Neurospora crassa OR74A: one gene and its partner. The protein of the gene in region 2 purifies or fractionates together with the protein of the main gene of each other region. This does not show direct contact. Links are inferred from orthologs where the notes say so. Each region holds a gene or a part of one and is shown on either strand. Other genes may lie near its edges.

The links. The genes of interacting proteins can lie anywhere in the genome.
Region 1: the proteins of NCU01643 (region 2) and NCU06226 purify together in Saccharomyces cerevisiae (affinity purification with mass spectrometry; 3 studies listed by BioGRID). This does not show direct contact. The link is inferred for Neurospora crassa OR74A from reciprocal best matches to the Saccharomyces cerevisiae genes RAT1 and RPL25.

What each region holds. Positions count from the first base shown.
Region 1 is NC_026503.1:1,965,014-1,968,296, reverse strand, and holds NCU06226 (60S ribosomal protein L25), read left to right. Parts: upstream 1-1,134; 5' UTR 1,135-1,310; coding exon 1,311-1,335; intron 1,336-1,561; coding exon 1,562-1,626; intron 1,627-1,704; coding exon 1,705-1,997; intron 1,998-2,058; coding exon 2,059-2,146; 3' UTR 2,147-2,637; downstream 2,638-3,283. Other genes in the region: NCU06227 (hypothetical protein), read right to left, coding at 1-731; small zinc finger protein Tim8, read right to left, coding at 3,079-3,254. UniProt on the Saccharomyces cerevisiae protein: Component of the ribosome, a large ribonucleoprotein complex responsible for the synthesis of proteins in the cell.
Region 2 is NC_026502.1:2,830,040-2,834,214, forward strand, and holds the start of NCU01643 (5'-3' exoribonuclease 2), read left to right. Parts: upstream 1-1,229; 5' UTR 1,230-1,724; coding exon 1,725-2,034; intron 2,035-2,111; coding exon 2,112-4,175. Other genes in the region: NCU01644 (intracellular protein transporter UsoA), read right to left, coding at 1-374. UniProt on the Saccharomyces cerevisiae protein: Possesses 5'->3' exoribonuclease activity. Required for the processing of nuclear mRNA, rRNA and small nucleolar RNA (snoRNA) precursors.

The sequences.
Region 1 (3,283 bases), on a different chromosome or scaffold from region 2:
TCCAGATATCGCGAGTTGGTGACGCATGGGGCCGGTAGCACAAGGAACAAACTTGGAAAGAATGCAGCGGTTGTCCCGGAGAACCGCTTCGGCGATGTTAGAAATTGTGTCGTGCGGACCAGCATCTCGCCTCTGTCCTTATGGTCTGGGACAAAGTTGAGCACCAAAGAAAGGCTGATGATGTCAAACTTCTCCGACTCGTCCTTCGGCAACGGGCGCTCCATGAAGTCCTGCTCAAGAATCCCAGGCTCTTGGCTGTTGAGATCGATCCGAGTGATGTCGAAATGGTTACTTTGAGCACATGCGTTCTTTGTACTCAGCGCTCCAACTTCCAGCATGCGCAAGCGGCCTTCCTTATACTCCTCGGATGAGAGGTACGGCCCAACCCACTCCATGAGCACGTTGGAGCTGTCGCCGCCTCGGTCATGTCTCTGCCCCTGGAGACTTGCTTCCTGATATTTCTCGATACCACCCAAAGCCTCGATCTCCGCCTCAATTGCCGCGACCTGTGTGTTATCGTTCTTCTTCATAGCCTGCACCTTCCTCTTCTCTAGGAGATGGAGTTTGTTGATGATGGATTTCGTGGTTTTCCGCGCAAGTGACTTGGGCTTTGTGACCGTGGGCGGACGGCCTGCTGCCAGGTTTTTGACCACTCCCTTTTTCTTAGGTCGCGTAGCCATGGGCGGACGCCCAGCTGCAAGGTTCTTGCTTACTCCTTTCTTGGGTGCCATAGTCCTTCGTCGCGTGCTATGCTGTAACAAGTATATAGCCGCAAATAGTCGATCTTGTCGATACTGTGATCCGTCTCGGTGAGATTGGTTTTCGATTTCGATTGGTGGTTCGTGACACTGTAGTTAGCAAGACAACTACACCACGTCCTTGTCTGGAGGTCGTGATAGGCACAGAACAGCGAGGCTTGGAGCTGTGAAAATCCAAGGTGTCCTGCACCGACTTCATCCGACAGACCACGAGCAGAAGGAGGAAAGCTGGATCGGAGGGCGCATCATGACCTTCAAGGTTGAATGACGGAGTGCGTAGCGATAAAGTGATGATCGGAGGTCGAGATTCAAAATACTGTGGAGCATATTTCGCGAAAGTGGATATTCTGGTGTGGTTCAGAGCCCGTTTGCGCCAGTTTGCGCAGCTCAACCCCTGCCAGTACCACTTCAGCCACACTACCAAGCCACACAAATCCCGCGCGCACACTTTTTCCTCCCCCAAATTTTGGCCAAAAAGTGAACTTTCTCCTCTCCGACAACGACCAGCGAGAATCCCGATTTCTTAGCCCGACGACAGCAGAAATCGCAGCAATGGCCCCTAAGGATACCAAGAAAGGTACTTGAAGAAACCTCAAAATCTCACCAGCGACGATTCCACCAAGAATGAATTGAACGGCTCGACAAATATGCTCGCCCCGCGCACAATGCGGATCCTCCGTGTCGCGCAATGGCATTCGGAGGTGATGCACCAAAGCAGCAGCAGACTTTGCGAGTTTGGACAAGATTCTGGCATCATCTTGCTCCAGGCGAATGCTTTTGCTGACGAGGGACTCTATGGATAGGCGGTGCCTCTAAGGCCGGTAAGGGCGCTCAGGCCAAGAAGGCTGCCCAGGCTGCCCTCAAGGGTGTAAGTTTGCGACGACTCGCGATCCCTTCCCCCCTGGTGACGTTCTGATGCTGATTAGAGTTCTTTTTCTCTGTTTAGGTGCACTCGCACAAGAAGACCAAGGTCAGATACTCGACCACCTTCCACCGCCCCAAGACTCTTCAGCTGTCTCGGGCTCCCAAGTACCCTCGCAAGTCGATCCCTCACGAGCCCCGTCTCGATGAGCACAAGGTCATCGTCCACCCTCTCAACACCGAGGGTGCCCTGAAGAAGATCGAGGAGCAGAACACCCTCGTCTTCATCGTCGATGTCAAGGCCAACAAGGCCCAGATCAAGCAGGCTCTCAAGAAGCTCTATGACATTGACACCGTCAAGATCAACACCCTGATCCGGTTAGTTTTGGTCCCTATGGACCGGCATTAATATGGTTCTTGTTGCTAACTCCACTCACAGCCCTGACGGTTCCAAGAAGGCCTTCGCTCGCCTCACTGCCGATGTCGATGCCCTCGACATTGCTGCCACCAAGCTCGGCCTTGTCTAAACTAGCGATTTCATAGCTATGGGAAATACACAAGATTCGGGATAAAAACTATCTTCAAGGGATACATGGGTTTTACTGTTTAACGAAAAAGAAGTCGGCGTCTGATACCCCTTTGGCGTTTGGTCCATGGCATGGAAATGAAAGTTTTTATAACTATTCTGCCCGTTCCATCAGACATGACCAAATGGGCCATTATCCAAACTCCTCCCTTGCAAGCCATAGATCTACTTGCTCTAAGACTTGAATCTGACATCTTGTATTCTTGCTATCACCATGGACTCATTGTCGCATTGTTATCTGCACTTCTATAACCAATTATCCTGCACTGCGCATTGGGTCTGTGTTTGAAGATGAAGATGAGTATCCCGCTATCGCGCGCTCCCATATCATGCTACAAGAACCGCCTGTCATACTGTCTAAGTTCCTGAACAAATTCCCATGCCCTATAAACCCTTTTCCCTTCCAGTTCTACCTTTGATCCTTCCCCTGTCCCATCACATATATCGTACAAGCCTTCAGGCGTAACCGTAACAATTCCTCGAATGACTGTCTCTTAGAATTGTGACCAGAACCTCAATCGCAAGCCCTATCGCAGGGATCAACAAAGGTTCCCTAGCAAAGGGTGCTTCTCTGTACCCCCGTTCCGTCGTAGTAAGCCCGAGTGTACCAGACCCAGCCAGAACCACCATGAAAACAAGCGTCGGATACCTCGGCCGCATCCTCCAAGTCTCCCAAGAAGCCCACCAAGCAGGACCAGCCAACCGAAAAACGTAGCCAGCCAGCCCCGCGGGACAACCAGTTCCTCAAGGGAAACAAGTCACCGTTTTCGCCATCCTCCTTCCTCTGCCTCCTCTTTTCTTTTTGTCCCGTTCTCATCTTTTTTCCTCCTCCTGATAAGCATCCTCCCACGCCTTCCTATCGGCGCGCGAGACCTACTTGCTGCCACCCCTGGTGATCTTTTGCACGTGGGCCATGATGGTCAGGTTGACGTCCAGGAAGCGCTCAACGCAGTCCGCCATGCAGACGGCCTCGGTCTTGTCGAGCTGGTTGGTCTTGATGGGGGAGGTGACGCATTTCTTCCAGCAGGAATCGGTAAGGGCGTGGGTCTCTACACGTGGGAGGTAGCATGTTAGTTTA
Region 2 (4,175 bases):
AAGTCGGTCGTGTCGAGCAGATCGAGCAGCAGCGTGATGTTCTCCTGGCGCTGGGTGAACTCGTCGGCGAGCCAGAGCGCAATCTCCTCTGAAGCTTCGGGGCTGTCTTCGTTGGGGCTGAAGAGCATCAGCAGGGTCTCGAGGACGACCTTGACCGTATCGACATCCTCGCCATCCCTGCTCAGACTCCCGATGAGACTTCGTAGAGCGCCAGAGGCTACTGAGGCCGGGTACTGCTTGGAGAAGCTGCGCAGACCGAGGATGGCGGCGCGGCGGTCTTCGAGGAGGGTCGCGGTGTTGAGACGGCCGCTGAGGACGGCAATGGTTTCGCTCACCGACTGCTTGGCCGGCGCCGCCGTAATGGTCGAGAACATGTTCGAGGATAGAGGTAGTGGACTAGTTTGGATGCCATGGAGGGAGGGACTGGAGGATCATGGCGTACGGCGGGGTGCGCGCATGCTCGAGGGTTAAGAGGTGTCGGATCACCACCTCTTGCGTCGTCGGGGTGTCAGTCAGGGGTAGGTACCTGTGTGGTCCCGCTATAGCGAGCGTAGTGGTACTTGCACCTGTAGCTTAGTGTATACCTACCTAGCACTCTGAGGTTCCGTTGGATCTTGGATGTACCCGGACAAAACGATTGGAAAATGGAAGGGCCCGCCTTGTTACAACCACCCGACTCGCTGCACACAAACGAAGCCAGGAAGTAGGTATGTACCTAGTTGCTTCCATGTGGCTAGTAGGTATACAACCAACGGAGGCCAACGGAATGAAACTAGGGGACAGGTGGTCCTTTCATACGAAAAGTCCAGCCCGCGCAACAATTGGCAATCATCAAGGCATGGTAAGTACCTTAGATACCTACACCTCTAGGTAGTAGTATTTATCATTTCATACCTTGGTTAGGGTCGTTTCGGGACTCATGGAAAGTACTATGATAGGTATATAATCGTGCAGTTCCATGTAATGCTATGTATAGGTAGTCTTTCGGATAAGTAAATGTCGGGTGTGTGTACCTCTACGGTTCCTGCGCCTCAATCATACCGTGCTCTGTTAGCCCGCACAACTGTTGATCATAGAGCGTCATGTGATGTTTCGATAAGCCGATAACAGGCTGCTGTGGCGTTGTCATTGGTCTTATCAGTGCTTATCGTCCCTTGCCGCATGGTCTTGGCACTCGTTGAACCCTTGAATTCTTTCGCATGTCAGAGCTCGGCGTTCTGTTCCGGTCTCGTCCTTCTCTCCCCAGTTCATCCCACTGCCACTCCATCACCACTTCTGCAATCGCTCACGTCTTATCCAACGGGCATTGCTGCAAGGACCGCTTTGCTGTGTCAATTTAGCCCGGATTCATTGAATTGGGCTTTCGACAAGGCGTGTCCTCAATCTTGCTGCGCCGTTTCCACAGTGCACTTTGAGGTGAACCTTGGTGGCTCTATCTGCGGTCACCTTGCGCGTGTTGTGCATCAGCATCTTTTGTTGCCCATACATCCGATCCCTTCGACCGACCTTATACCTCAGTCTGCTTCCATCAACATTCCTTTATTCGCTTTCCGTCGGTGCGAATTGAAGAACCCACTACGTTCACTTTCCGAACCACCCATCTCGTTCAGCGACTACCCCCGATCTTTCTCGCGACAACTACCTACTACATTTTATAGCCAACCACATTTTAACTACCGTCCCTACAAGTGCTATTCGTGTGACCACTCGATCGCCTTTGCAAGATGGGTATTCCGGCGGCTTTCAGGTGGCTGTCCACCAAGTATCCCAAGATCATCTCGCCCGTCATCGAGGATCAGCCGATTACTATGCCCGATGGCACCGTCATTCCTGTTGACGCGACCAAGCCAAATCCCAATGGCGAGGAGTTTGACAACCTGTATCTCGACATGAACGGCATCGTCCATCCTTGCTCTCACCCCGAGGACCGCCCCGCGCCCAAGGACGAGGAAGAGATGATGGTCGAGGTTTTCAAGTACACCGATCGCGTCGTCAACATGGTTCGCCCGCGGAAGCTTCTCATGATTGCTGTTGGTGCGTATCTCTCTTTCGCACCATCTCTGTCGCCCTACTTTGATTTAAGAAACGGGACTAACATAATTTCACCACAGACGGCGTTGCCCCCAGAGCCAAAATGAACCAGCAACGGTCCAGACGATTTCGCGCTGCCCGGGAAGCCATGGAAAAGGAGGAAGACAAGCAAAAGTTCGTCGAGCTGCTCAAGAAACAGAACGGCAAGCCCCAAGAGGAAGAACCCGTAGAGGTCGTCGTCAAGAAGGCTTTCGATTCCAACTCCATCACTCCTGGTACGCCCTTCATGGACATCCTGGCTGCCAGTCTCAGGTATTGGTGTTCCTATAAGCTCAATACCGATCCTGCCTGGGCCAACATCAAGGTCATTATCTCTGACGCCACCGTTCCGGGTGAGGGTGAACATAAGATCATGGAATTCGTCCGCTCCCAGCGTGGTTCCCCCAACCATGACCCCAATACTCGGCATGTCATTTACGGACTCGACGCCGACCTTATCATGCTTGGCTTAGCCACGCACGAGCCCCATTTCCGTGTTCTGCGTGAAGACGTCTTTGCCCAAGACAGCAGGCCGAGACTGTGCAAGATTTGCGGTCAAAAGGGACATGACGCCATGAACTGCAAGGGCGAGGCAAAGGAGAAGAATGGCGAGTTCGACGAGAAGGACGCAGTCGTGCCTCTCAAGCCCTTTATCTGGCTCCACGTTTCCATTCTCCGTGAGTACCTTGCCATTGAACTTGACGTTCCTGGCCTTCCCTTCCAGTTCAACTTGGAAAGGGCCATCGACGATTGGGTTTTCATGTGCTTCTTTGTCGGAAACGATTTCTTGCCTCACTTGCCTGCATTGGAGATCAGGGAGAACGGAATTGATACCCTAACGGCCATCTGGAAAGATAACTTGCCCGTAATGGGCGGATATTTGACCAAAGATGGCCATGCGGACCTTGAACGTGTCCAGTACATCATGGCCGGCTTGGCCAAGCAGGAAGATGCCATTTTCAGGAGGAGAAAGGAAACCGAAGACCGACGAGAGGCCGGTTTCAAGAGGCGCAAGCTTGCCGATGAGGCCCGACAAAGGAGAGCCCAAGGCAGTAGGCAAATACGTCAGGCGGCTGAGAATAGTGGTCCGCCAGCTGGATTTTCCTTTCACAAGATTAACGAATTTCCGGGCAAGGCTCCGCAACCATCAATCACTCATGACATGGTGGTGAACCGCCAGGCGGTTGACCAGGCCAATGTTGCCAACAAGAGTGCCGCTAGCGTGCTCAAGGATCAGATCAAGAGCATGATGGCGCAAGGAACGAGCACTCCAGAGAACGGTGCTGAGTCCACTGAGACTCCTGCTGAAACTGCTGCGGCCGCCCCGGCCACCGAAGAGCAAGCTGCTCCCCCAGCAGCCCTGGGTAAAAGGAAGGCTGAGCTTATCGAAGATGCTGTCGCTGGTCCCGAGGCCAGCAGTACCGAGGTGACCGAGATCAGCGAGAGTGATGCTGAGCCTACCGATTCGGTCAGGCTGTGGGAAGAGGGCTATGCGGACCGGTACTATGAGCAGAAGTTCAAGGTTGACCGTAAAGACATTGATTTCCGTCACAAGGTTGGCCGTGCGTATGCCGAAGGTCTTGCGTGGGTTCTGGAGTATTATTTCCAGGGCTGCCCCTCATGGGAGTGGTTCTACCCCTACCATTACGCGCCGTTCGCTGCGGACTTTGTTGATCTTGGCAAGATGGAGATCAAGTTTGAGAAGGGCAGAATTTCGCGGCCATTTGAGCAACTGATGAGCGTCCTTCCGGCCGCGTCTCGTCATGCCATCCCTGAGGTGTTCCACTCCTTAATGTTAGAGGAGACCAGTGAGATCCGCCATTTCTACCCCGATGACTTCGAGATTGATCTCAACGGCAAAAAGATGGCTTGGCAGGGTGTCGCCCTCCTTCCCTTCATCGACATGCCTCGTCTATTGGCTGCCATGGAGACCAAAAGTCATCTCTTGAGCCCAGAAGATCACCTCCGGAATGCACCGGGCAAGGATTATCTACTTCTATCTGATTCTCACCCAACACTGTACGATCACATCACGAGCCAGTTCTACTCCAAGAAGCAGGGTACGACCAAGTTCGAGCTGGATCCCACAAAGAGTGCTGGCCTCT